Linked DNA regions of Diceros bicornis minor. The protein of the gene in region 1 purifies or fractionates together with the protein of each later gene. This does not show direct contact. Links are inferred from orthologs where the notes say so. Each region holds a gene or a part of one and is shown in the gene's direction. Other genes may lie near its edges.

Region 1 (4,163 bases):
TGAGAGTGATGAGAACCTCACTTCCTAGTCCCCTTACCCAGGAGAGCCCAGGGGCTAGACTTCTTGTACCTCAACTCCTGTCTCACGGTCTCCCTACCCTGGGAGCCTCAGAGGGCTGGGGTCTCGAAGCTCATGGCGGGGGGCTATGTCCGGGTCTCAGTCTAACCTTTATCCCTGCAGGTTTGATGAGCCAGCCCCAGACCTCTGCACCCTCAAGCGGTTGTCCTACCAGAGTGGGGATGTTCCTCTGATCTTTGCCCTGGTGGATCACGGAGACATCTCCTTCTACAGCTTCAGGGACTTCACACTACCCAGGGATCTGGAGCACTGACCACCCAGCCCTGGCAGGGCCTGGGGCTTGCTCTGGGGGACCTGGACTGTCTACTCTCAGGGACCATCTCAGCTGCCTCCTTCACCGAGACTCTGACCTGTACCTGCAGGGGCTAGTCTGGGCCGTGGCCCTGGGTGTCAGATGCTTGCAGGAGAGTGAAGCTGTGCCCCACACCTGGCTGCTGCAGTGCTTCCAAGCCCCAGGCCTGAGATTGCTGCCTTGCAGTGATCCTTCTGGAACCCAGGACTAGATTTCAGAGACCCAGAGAGGTGGGGCAGAAGAGAGGACTCTGTGCCTTTAAATGAGAGGGTGCCTGCTTCATACAATAAAGCCAAAGCCATTAAAAAATAGATGCTTTTTCTGCTGGCTGGATACAGTGAACAAGTTCCCCAGCCCCACTCGGGGAGTGCAGGACCTTCCCCCCCCCCATCCGGTTGTCCGTGGAACTGACCCCTAAGCCCTCACCCTTGCTTTGCTCACCCACAGAGAGCGCTGCTGTCTCGGTTTGGGACCTAAAAGAAGGTCGCGGGAGGGCGGGGACGAAATTCGGTACTTTTCTCAGGGCCTGCGCCGGAGGGGATGGGAAGTCAGACCTCTAGTCAGCTTGGCTTTCTGAAGGGCAGTCCGAGGAGGCGAGCCGGCGCTCCATCGGACCTTCCTTGAACGCAGCCGGGTCCGAGTAGAAGAGCGTCTGAGAGGGGCCAGGTCGATGTGGCTTGAATCTTAGTCGCTTGGAGCTGTGAGGTGGAGCGCGCCATTCACGCCCCCGGCCTCGGGCCGGGTTTCCGCGCGCCTTCCGCTCCCGCCTCTCGTCGCTCCAACCCTCTCCCTTGTTCTAAAAACTCCGGTCGCTGTTGCTGTCCCTCGGGGCCTCGGGCGCCTGCCTGCCTCAGCAGCAAGTCGGCGGCGGGGATTCCAGGCTTGGGGCTCGCTGCGATGGGAGGCGCCTTCGGGCGACGCGCTCGTCCCCATGCCACCTCTGGCTCTTGGGTCCCGAAACCTAGCCCTGTGTCTGCCTGTTACCCTCTCTAATTGGGTTGAGTGCGCTCAGGAAAAGCCAGCCGGGCTATGCCCCTCCCTCAGCAGCTCGGGGCCGGGTTGTGGGAGGGACGGCTCCCCTCTGCAGTCGGCCTGGGAGGTGGCCCCGGACCCCGCGCGTTCCGGGAACTATTTACTTATCCGGGAGGCGGCGGGACACTGGGCGCGGCGCGCGGTACTGCGACCAGGTGCGCGCAGGTGAGGCCGGGGGCGGGGCGGCAGCGCCTCGTGCATATTCACGCGGGCCGCGGTCCCGCCCCCGCGCTCCTCAGGGCCGCGGATTGGCCCGAGCGCGGCCCTCGCCCCCCGAGCGCGCCCTAGCTGCGCCCCCGCTGCGCCCCCGCCCGGTCTGCGTAGGGCTGCGGGGGGCGCGGCCGGGGCGGGGCCGGAGGCGGGCCCCTGGGGCTGGCGCGCGGGGTTCCGCGGCTCCAGCCGGCTCGCCCTTTATGTAAATAGCGGCGGCTCCGCCCCCGTTCGCCGCGCCGGAGGTGAGCAGGAAGGAGACAGCCGCCCAGCAGCCCGTGGGCCGGCGGCTGAGTGAGCGGAGCCGGCGGCGGGCGCCGAGGGACGCCGAGGCCTCGGGCGGGGGCCGGCCTGGGGTTCCAGGTGAGGCGCGGGCCGGGACCCATCTAGCCGGGCCCGCCCTTCAGGACGCCCGCCACTGGGGGCGGAGAGGCAGGAGAGGGCCAGGACTCCCGGCTTCCCCGGGTCTGTCGGGGAGGGCTGCGCCCAGGTCAGCCCGCCGCCCTGGATCCGTCGCTCCTCTCGTCTGGGAGAAAGACACCTGTGCAAAGTGCAGCTGGAAACTTTTCTCTGCCCGATCCGCCCGTGTTTACAGAATTAGGAGTTCGCGTTTGAACAACAGTGTTGGCTTTGGGGAGCAGGGAAACAGGTGCTCGGCCCGGCTGGTTACCGGGGTCACTGCGAGCGGAGACGCGGTCCCTGGGCCGCGGGCCCCAAGTGCAAGGCGCCTGGCCGGGGAGGCCGGCGACGCACGTCTCCAGTGGCCCTCTCTCAGCGAGCAGTGGCCGGAGCGCGTTACCTCGGCGGCTTAGTCCCTGCCCCTGCCATCTGGGCCCTCTCCCTGGCGGCCTTTTGTGCCTCCTAATCCTCGGACGCAGGAAGCCCGCGGGAGGGACTTCGGTCTCGGGTCCTTTCTCCGCCTCGGGCGGCTTCGGACACCTTAGGGGACGGTACGGAGACCCCAGTCTATTTTCCACGACAACAGGGGCGGAGTTGCGTTGTGGTACGTTGGGACTTGGCGAGGAGTAGAAAATTCTGTCTTGCCAAGAAAGTGTGCAAAGTCTGCTCTTGGTTTGCTCCTGCTGGACCGTTGGTGGACACACTGAGCTTTGGCTGTGGGGAGAATTGACTGTAACCAGGGGAGCTGTGGTGTGGCCCCCTGAGGCTCTCATCTGAGACAGGTGAGCTTTGGGTGAGGTGGGCGGGGCCGAGACTCAGCGCCCCTTCCCATGGGAATCCATGTGCCAGATGCAGGACAGCTTAACCTGGGCTCTAGGGACCCTCTGCAGAGTTTTTGACTGAAGGTTCTGTCAGGCTGCAGAGGAGGGGAACTGGGAGGGAATGAGTGTGTCAGGGAGACGAGAAGCCCCAGGTGGGAAGAACAGGGCAGCAGTGTAGAAGAGCCCCAGGTGGGAAGAACAGGGCAGCAGTGTAGAAGAGCTGTGGCCCAGCACAGGGAAAGCCAAGGTCAGAAGTGGCTCTTGAGGAAGACAGTCTGGGTCTGTGTGAGCTGAGGCGTGGGAAGGGTCCTGGGAGATATGGTCCAACTTCTTTATTTTATGGACGGGGAATTCGGATTTGGTTTTCTTGCCCACAGTGCTCACTTATGGCAGTCAGGACTCAGACCCAGCTCCGGGGGCTCTGACCAGGGCTCACTCCTGTTTTCTGGTTAGACTGGGCCGATCTCTTTGGGGCCCACTAGATAGTGTTTCCAGGGTCTGAGGTCATTCTGCATCCCTAGTGTTTTTTGAGGCAATGGAGTATCCCCTTCGACGGCAGATTAATATAATTTTAATAACTTAGTAACTTTTTAATACACAATTGCATTAAAAGGAAAAAAAGGCCTATAATCCCAGATGACCCCTGTTTGTTTAAAAAATAAAAAGTTAATAGAGCCCATAGCAGGGAAAATGAAACATTTAGGAATTATAAAATAAGAGGAAAAAACTTCTCTGTCTGGCCTCATCGTCTTTTTCCTCAAACATAGTTTATTATGTTTTAGTGTCTTTCCAGACATCAGGTATAGCTTTGAATTGGGCCTTGCTGATTTCTTGCTGCATGACCTTGGCTCAGTCACTTAACCGTGCCAAGCCTCAGCGAGCCTTGTTTTTACAGACGTTGACAGGATGAAAACTGTCACGAATATGTGTGGCCTGGCACCTAGCCGGCTGGCACCAGGTGAGGGTGAGCTTCTTCCCCATGAAGCATAAAAAGAATAGTCACTTTCAGGCCTTTGGGCACACGCCTGGGCCTTTTGGATGTGCCTGATGGATTGTGAGGGAATTTGGCTTCTCTGACCAGAAATCAGCCAAGAGATCATGATTTTTGAAAGCCTCTGGAAGTCAAAACTTTTAAAACAAGGACGTTGCTCCTTGAGAGTAGGGGGTGCAGAGGTAGAGGACAGTGGCCTTTCCTAACCTCACCTTGTGTTTCAGGGGACCTGGGTACTTCCTTGCTCCTTGAAAGAGCCAGGAGTGAGGCCTGATGGCCAGACTCCAGCCGGGGGCCTTTCCTGGGAGGGAGGGGGTGTAGAGTCGGATCTGCTCTGGGG
Region 2 (4,163 bases), on another chromosome or scaffold:
TAGTCCCCATTCCTTGGGTCACCTCTCTGGGCTTAAATTTCTCATCTGTACATGTGGCTAACCAAATCTACCCTGTGGAGTGGTAGTGAGGGTTATATGAAAAAGTGTGGGTAAAAAACTTGGCTCAGAGCTGAGCCTGCTGTAAGGTTAAAGAAAATGGTAGTGACAATTATTGATATAGGCAAAGTTCCAGAAGCACAGAGAAGAGAGCTGTGTGTTGTGGTGGGTGAAAGGGTTGCAGAGAGGTGACATGTCTGCAGTGCTGCCACTCCACATTCTAGAATTTTGTGCCTGAACACCTGCTCCAAGTTACACACTTAAGTGAAGGAGAGAGGTCTGTTTTCTGGAAAGAAGGGGAATGGAGTCCAGTGGGGAATGGAATCAAGCTTCTAGGCTCTGGCTAACTTCTTACTAGTTACAGAACCTGAGCATGGCAGCAGGCTTGCTGTGTCCTGTGTTCCCCCATGAAAGTGTTGGCTGTGAGGACTCCATAGAAATGCACAGAAACTTGCTCAGGACTCCCAGGGAGACAAAAGCTGGGTAGCATGTTGTGAGGGAGAGATTCTGTTAAGCTGTGGAGTCACATTTATCTTTCATGTCCCTAAAAAGGGATCCCTGAGTCAGAGTCAGGGATAGTTCTGGTTCTGCTCCCAAGCTAATTGGTTGTGTGATGCTAGGCAAGTCACTCAGTCTCTCTGGGCCTCATTTTTCCCAGCTGCAAAATAAACGAATTAGATGACCTCTGAGGTCAGCCCTGCCTTACTCTATGTCCTTTTGATTTTTTTTCCTTACCTAGGATAAATATTTGTTGATCCTACAGGCTAGGTCTTGAACAGAAAGACAAAGAAAACCAGTGCCTTGTATTTAATGAGTGCTATGATTTCTGATATGCTTGCCAGAAATATTTTCTTACATCCTGGTATGTTCTAGGTATAATGGGGCAAACGAGAGAATACAACAAGGACTCCCCCCTGTCACACAGGGCAGAAAAGGTACTGACAAGGTATCAAGCCCTAACAGCCCTGGCTTGGGAGCATTGAGTGCCTCACTTTTCGCTGCCGCCTACCGAAGCAGCCAATGAGTACACAGCAGTTGGTGTTTATGCTAAAAACTACAAATTCCAGAAGTCAATGCGCGAGGGCGAAGTGCTTACGCGCAAATCAAGATTAGTGGGCCCTGCCCCTAGAAGCGGAACTTCATTTCCCGGCGGCCCCGGGGCTCGTCGATATTCCTCCGTTGGCGCTGGCGTTCTCCTCCTGCCTCCTGCCAGCAAGCCCCGCGCCAACTCGGGGCGCGCGCGCGCGCGCGCGGGGGGGGGCGGGGCACGTAGCACGCGAGTGACGCATAATATGTGGGCCGTTCCGGAGCCGTGGTCGCGCTGTGTGTGAGTGAGGGAGAGTGAGTGCGGGACCTGAGGCGGTGTGTGTGAACTGTGGCCACTGGCGGGGTCAGGGGGGAGCGGCGGAGCCGCCCGGGAAGGTGAGTGGGGAAAGGAAGGAGACGGCTCTCTGGGAGGGGCGCGAGGAGATAAGGCGCGTGGCGGTGCGGGCGGGAGAGTGGGCGCCGGGCTGGGGGAGGGGCGGCACCTGCCTGGGCCGCCGGCGGGGAGGGGGCGGGCCGGCCCGCTGGGGAGGCTGGGCCCGGGGCCTGACAGGACTTTTCCTCCTCCAGATTCTTGGCTTGGGGGCGGGGCCTCCACGTTCTTCCTCCAGTCCGCGAAAGCAGCTTTCCGAGAGTAACTCTTCTGCTCGGAGTGGGGGGCAGGACTGTGCCACCCCTACCAGGAGGAAGGGCGCCTCTTATTCCCCTCGTCACCTTTTTCTTCCCAATCCTCCCAGTCTCGGTTCCGTACGAGCTGGGGGGCTCCATCTTCCTTGCCGTACGGCGGGCCCCTTCCCAGACTGTCTCCGCCTCCAGCTCCAGTCACCTGGGCGGGCTCTCCCCTCCCTCGGCCTCGTGCCACCTCCCCTTGCGTGGCCCGGCTCTCGGACCCGGGTTAGGGGGGCGGAGCTTTCCGCCCAGTTCTGTCACACCGAGGGTGGAGCGGAGGGGTGGAGAGAGGTGTGCGGGGCTTGCAGCGTGGAGCCAAACCTTCCAAGTGCCCACCAAGCTTCCCGGGAGCCTATTTCTGGGGGTTTTATAGTTGTTTTTAACTGTGGTGTCAGAGGCATTTGCTTAACTGGCTCTTCTCTTCCTAGATGCTGTCCGTGTCACTTCCTCTTATTGCAGTGTTAGCGCTCGGGTTTCACATTTGTTGAAGTGGTTTTGGAGTGTTTGTAGTAGTTCTTTTTGAGTCCCAAATGACTCGTCCTTGTTCACGTCATGTTGGCCTCAGTTTTTCCTTACTCTGTCTTTTCAATGATGTCTTTTAATTAGTCTACGTGCTTTAATTATTAATTTATATTAGCAGCATGTTCCTGTTCTAAACGCTTTGTTAATATACAGAGTGAGGTTCATTGACAGTGTCATTCTGTAATTTTCTTTCTCCAGTTTACTGGAGTTTACCTTTAAGGTTTATATAAGCTTGTATATTTAGACTCTTTAGGAATTCGTTTGGTATTTTTCTGCTTGTTGCTGTCGAGATTTGGGTTTTCTATATAGCAGTTTTACCTTATGCGCTTTCCAGCGGTAATATATTTGTGGATATTGAGATAATAGATACAGAATTTGGGGAATATAAAGGAGATCATTTTATGCTCAAAATCTCTTGAGTGGTTGCTGAGCAGTGTTCTGCTGTTCTTTCTGTTGTACAGTTGTTAAATTTAATAGAGGAGGAGTCTGGTAGAATGAACCACTTGTTAGTTTGAAGTGACTGAAGTTGATTTATTACCAGTTTTCTTACATTGTTTTTGTAAAGGAGATGGTCATGGACAGGAATAGACAATTGTTACACATGATCTTATATGTCATGCTAATTATTGGATAAATTTTATTTGAAGTTCCAAACTTGGATTTTTTTCCCCCATTTTTTTGTTTTTTTAAAATAAGGAAGAACGCTTTCAGATGTTTGTTTCAGGATTGTAACCTTGCAGGAATCTGTCCTTAATGTGGACTTTATTTTAGGCTTTGGGATAGTTTCTGTTGAATGCCATTCAGTATTGTGTATTAGAAGAGGACAGATTTTATGGTTTAAAAAGTTACGAAAGGTTACAAAATAGTGGAAAAATTGTAGAGCTGGGGTAATAACATACAGAGAAAAATCTTTCTCTTATCTTTAACCCTCAGAAAGTCAATTACTTAACACATGATAGATATTATCCTTTCCTTGTGTATTCTTCCAGGGATATTTTATTCTAGGGACACACACACTCTCTCTCACACACACACTTTGCTTTTCTCATTTGACAATATATTTGAGAGTTGGTTCAAATTAGGAAAGGAAATGTTTCTTAATTTTTTTCTCTTTTTGTTATGAAAATTTTCAAACATACTAAAAAGTTGAAAGAATAGTAAAATGACACTTGTTTATCCATCCAGATTCAACAGTTGTTACTATTTTGTCATATTTTTTTCTATTTATAAATGTGGTGTATATTTCTTTATTTTGTGGAACCGTTGGGAAATAAGATGCAGAAACATCATACCCCTAAATACCTTGGCAGCCATGCTTTAGAAGAAAGACATTCTATGTATTTTTTTGTAGGGCTTTATATTATTCCACTGTATGAACAGTATTATCATTTTACCCTCACAAGAACCATTTCCATTTTACGGAAAAGGAAATTGAGATTTGGAGAAGTTAAATAACTTGACCGAGATCTCACAGGTTTGTCCACAGAGTTGGGATTTGATGCTTGAAACCCTTTTCTACCGAGTAACACTTGGTTGGTTTTGGGGCCCTCTCTGAGCCCATTTCCTCATTTGTAAAAAAGGGGAAGGTTGGTTGTGAAAATTCAGAATAACGTAGTGAATTACTTAGCCAAATGTCTGTCCCGTACTATTATTCACTAAGTGGTAACTGTTGTGTCACTATAGGGCAGGCTGTAAATTCTGCATACCACTTAAAGCACTCACTTTCAAACATAGTAAATTGATTAATGCACCTTCATTGTTTTGTGTATAACAAGATGACTGCACCTTTTACATTTTTTATTAATAGTTTTTCATTGATACTAAAATGAATTATCATTGATATTATTGTTTTAGTCTATTGTAAGTTTATA
Region 3 (4,163 bases), on another chromosome or scaffold:
CCCTATGTAAGTTTCCTGTTTCCTTCCCTTTTCCCATTTGGTTGGAGTGAATCTGAAGTAAGTGTATATGTGTAAAAACACCTATAACAGTGCTTTGCATACAAGTGTCTAACAAATGTCAGCTATTGTTTTAATGGATATTAAAGTCCTTTGTCCAAATGCTGCTAAGATTATTATTATTGCCCACTGAGTATTTGGGCACAGGCTGGGAAAAATCAGTAGAGTACAGCTCTGGCTCAGAGGCCAGAGGTTCCTTATGATGACAGCCCAAAGGATGGAAGACTTAACCTCTCTGAGCCTCAGTGTCCTTGTCTGTAAAATGGCAATAATAACCTTACCTCTGCCGACTTCACAGGGAAGCTCGAGTGCCTGCCCAATGGAAGCACTTAGAAAAATATTTGTTGAATGAATGAGTGCATGGACCACATGAGGGGGCAGTGGCAAGCTGCAGGGGTCTGCCCTGAGCAACATGACTGCTGACTTGCTGCCCATGAGACCTGATGCAATGGAGGCCCACCTAGGGCAGTGGACGAGTGCTGAATTGAGCAGACACGCTGGGTGGTGCGCTGGTCAGTGCTTCACATTTGGACAATGGGCACTCTTGGTAAGAACGTAAATGTATTGGTATGGCCTTTTTGGAAAAATCATGTAGTGCTAGCTATCACAGTTTTAATAGAGCATCCAAATATACTTAGTAGTTCCATTTATAGGAAATCATCTCCCAGATATCCAGGCTCAAGTATGCCAAGATTTATATAGTGTGTTCAATGCAACTCTTTGCAATAGTGAAAAACTGAAAACAACCTAAATGTTCCTCAGTACGGGAGTAGATAAAGAAATTGTGTTACATCTATACTATGGACCATGCAGCTATTAAAAAGAATGAGGTAAACCTATATGTATTAACATGGAGAGGTCTCAAGATGTACGATTAAATAAACAGAAAAACTCAAGTTGATAGAGCTATGCATTTAATATAATAACATTTGTGGAAAAAATCGTATCTATGTATCTGAATAGGAAATATCTGGAAGGCTACACAAAGTTAAGGTGGTTATCTCTAACCACCTTACCTTTAACCTTTGAAGTTAAAATTTTAAATTCATAAAAGAGCTCCCATATGAAGTCTCGAGGCCCTATTTGTAGTCTGGTCAGTGACACCGCGTGACGCAATGACAGCCTATTCGCGTTTTTGAGCCGAAGCTTCCTCCTGTGTAAACTAACAATAATACCTACCTCCTCGTGCTGTGATGGGTGAGATGAAATAACATGTATGAAATCCCCTGCTCAGGGCAAGGATAGATCACTAGAGCAATCAGGGAGGGTGACTCGAAGAAGGAGGCATGAGTCTAGACTTTGAAAGATTTGGCAAGGCCTGGATTTAGTTTGATTCCCGGTTGTCTTTTCCAATATTCAACAGGCATTTATTTATTAAAGGTCTGGTACAAAACCGGATGTGGGCTTTTTAACTACTCACCTCCTGTCGCAAGCTGCCAAGCAGCAGCCTAGCGCGTGCGCAGTGAGAGCATCTTTGGCTGAGCTCCGCCCACGTACTACAACTCCCGGCAGGCTCTGCGCACGGTTTTGGCGCGTCGCGGAATACTGACGTAGCTCAGTAGCGCGGGGAATTTCGAGTGGCAGTGGAGCGCGAGAGGCCAGTGGTTGGCGGACCCCCAGCCTCCGTAGGAGAGACCATGGACTCCGTAGTTGAGCCTCGGTGGCCTCCAGGCCTGGCAGTCATGAAAGTGAGTGCTTCGGGGAGGTTGGGGGCGCCCGGGTGTCCGCGGGAGGCCTGCCCCGCCTTGAGGAGGAGAAGGGAGGAGGCGCGAGCAGGGAGCTGGGCCAGGGTACCCGGCTCTGCTCTGCCGCTTGCCGACTGCGTGGCTCTGCGCCTCAGTTTCCTCCCCTGAGAAGTAACAGGGACAGGCCTCGGTCCCTTACGTGAGTTGAAGTTGGCCGTCGTATGGAACCGGGTATTCTGCGGTTCAGCCACAACCATAACACTGACCTCGAGAAAAACAGTTATTCTCAACAATGAGAACGACAATGACAACTAATCCTTCCTGAGGGCTTGCTATCTGCTAAGCATTATGTAAACTCTCGTAGTATGTTGGTTGAGATTTCCCAAAGTGACACCAGACGTGATTTTGGGTGGACCCTGCATCAAATAACATTTATTTAATCACTTAGCGAAGCAGGTAGTCTCCTTTACATTCTCTTTGGTTTCTTCTAATTAGACTCTGGAAGCCTAGCGCTGGTTTGTCCTAACTCCTCCCTAATGTGTCCTAACTCCTAACAGTTGTGCATCTCTCTTTTAAACAAAGAGATCAGGACTCAGGCTCAGCACTAGCCTTTCATTTCATTGAATTATTTCACTTAAATAACACATTTTTGTGGCTACTTTGTTTTTAGCAAGGCATATCAGTTTCCATTTATATTAGTGGTGATCCCTGGATTCCTGCTAGGTTTAGTCAAGAGCGAATACACTTTGCTGTGTTACCTAAGAATCAGTTGCTTGGTTTTGCTCCCTGCTCTGTGATTATTTCAGTTTGTGGCTGTGGGCAAGATCGAGTTCTCGTTTTGTTCGTCAGTTTTGTAAACTTGGGGATTATGGTATCTGTCCCACAGACTCGTAAGGCTGATTTTGAGAGTCAAGTAAGGGGACTTGAGAGAAGTTAAAGTAAGTATAAGGCCTTGTTCGTCCTGCTGTCATCAGTGTCATCTACAGTGCTTGGGGCCTTGAGATATCCCCATGGTGAAAAGCTGACATTGTGGAAGGATCCACGAAAGCTGTAGTTTTGAAGTTGTGGTGGCCTTGGCACCAAGCTGCAATGGAGAAGAGCATAGATTTGAGTTTCAGTGCTCCTGAGTTAAATCTGGTCTCTGCCTCTTATTTACCGTGTGATGGTGAGTTACTTACTTAACCTCTCTGAGCTTGAATTTCCTCAACTCTAAATCTGAGACAAAAATAAACAGTTTATAGGATTGGTTAAATGAATTGATGTATCTGGATAGGGATCCTGTTTGGCTTTTTTCATTGTGCGTAACTGAGTGCCTGGCACATAGTGGATGCTCAGAAATTGTTTGCTAATTGATTCAAGGTGTCTGGAAGGTAGTAAGCATTCAATTATATATCTTTATTATTGTTATTAGCCCTTAACGTGTTAAGTGTTTCCCCCCTCCTTTGTATTTCTTGTTATGAAGAGTGAATTGGATAAAGGAAGTGAAAGCTCTGTAACTTGTAAAGCACTTGCTTTGTAGATTTAAGCATATTTTACATATTTATATATTCCACATGTTTTTTAGAGGCACGTTCCACGTCTCCTCTGGTTTTGGTATCTCACCACAGCACTTAATACAGGGACAGCACCAGAGAGTGTTCAGTGATGGAGTTGATTGAGCCCATATTAGAATCATGGTATCTTAAGGTTGGAAAGCCAGCTCCCTCCAGTATTTTAATCCCTTTTATAGCATATCTGCCAATTTCTCATCTAGCTTTTGCTTGAACTCTTCCAGGGACGAAGAACTACCTGCTCCCAGAAGTAGCTCTGTTTGAAGTTCTTTCTTATGTTGAATAGAAATCTGACTCCTGAATCCTTGGTTCCAGACCTAGGATCCATGGAAAGACTTTGGTATCTGGAATTATTTATAAAATTTTTGTCTATGTGTATGTTTTTCTGAGAAGAGAGTCCATAGTTTTCATCCATTTTTCAAAAGGATCTGTGACCCAAAAAACTTAAGAACCTTTGCTCTAATTATTTAGTCTTTTCACCCGTTCCCCACTTCCCCTTTTTACTTTGTCTCTCTAAGTTAAAGAAATCCTGGGCAATCCACTTGACCGCTCTCTATTCAGGCTATTTTTTTTTTTTTTGGTTGAGGCACACGTGGTATGCATGTTACTGGCTTGAAATGGCATGACTAGAAATTTATACAGGCTTGTTACAACTCATTTGATGCGGTGTCACCTTCCACAAATTTCGCTCAGCAGATCTATCAGAGCCACTCCTCTGGAAGAGGATGGTTATGTAGAAGCAAGTTGAACAGAGTTGAGGCCAGGGCTCTGGCTTCCAGCCCTGCCTCTGCTCTTAACTGGTCTTCAACACAATCCAGCTTTTTGTGTCAGTGCTGGCTTACCATCCAAAATAATGGAAGATTTTGGCATT

What was found.
Region 2: the proteins of LLGL2 (region 1) and DCAF1 purify together in Homo sapiens (co-immunoprecipitation; 3 studies listed by BioGRID and IntAct, counting the BioPlex papers as one, with this or other methods). This does not show direct contact. The link is inferred for Diceros bicornis minor from reciprocal best matches to the Homo sapiens genes LLGL2 and DCAF1.
Region 3: the proteins of LLGL2 (region 1) and RAD18 purify together in Homo sapiens (affinity purification with mass spectrometry; 3 studies listed by BioGRID and IntAct, counting the BioPlex papers as one, with this or other methods). This does not show direct contact. The link is inferred for Diceros bicornis minor from reciprocal best matches to the Homo sapiens genes LLGL2 and RAD18.

Annotation. Positions count from the first base shown.
Region 1 is NC_080757.1:55,973,019-55,977,181, forward strand, and holds the start of LLGL2 (LLGL scribble cell polarity complex component 2), read left to right. Parts: upstream 1-1,871; 5' UTR 1,872-1,975; intron 1,976-2,002; exon of another isoform or gene 2,003-2,793; intron 2,794-4,163. Other genes in the region: TSEN54 (tRNA-splicing endonuclease subunit Sen54), read left to right, coding at 181-331. UniProt on the Homo sapiens protein: Part of a complex with GPSM2/LGN, PRKCI/aPKC and PARD6B/Par-6, which may ensure the correct organization and orientation of bipolar spindles for normal cell division.
Region 2 is NC_080741.1:52,255,175-52,259,337, reverse strand, and holds the start of DCAF1 (DDB1- and CUL4-associated factor 1), read left to right. Parts: upstream 1-1,310; 5' UTR 1,311-1,479; intron 1,480-4,163. UniProt on the Homo sapiens protein: Acts both as a substrate recognition component of E3 ubiquitin-protein ligase complexes and as an atypical serine/threonine-protein kinase, playing key roles in various processes such as cell cycle, telomerase regulation and histone modification.
Region 3 is NC_080741.1:71,259,346-71,263,508, forward strand, and holds the start of RAD18 (E3 ubiquitin-protein ligase RAD18), read left to right. Parts: upstream 1-1,623; 5' UTR 1,624-1,694; coding exon 1,695-1,745; intron 1,746-4,163. UniProt on the Homo sapiens protein: E3 ubiquitin-protein ligase involved in postreplication repair of UV-damaged DNA. Postreplication repair functions in gap-filling of a daughter strand on replication of damaged DNA.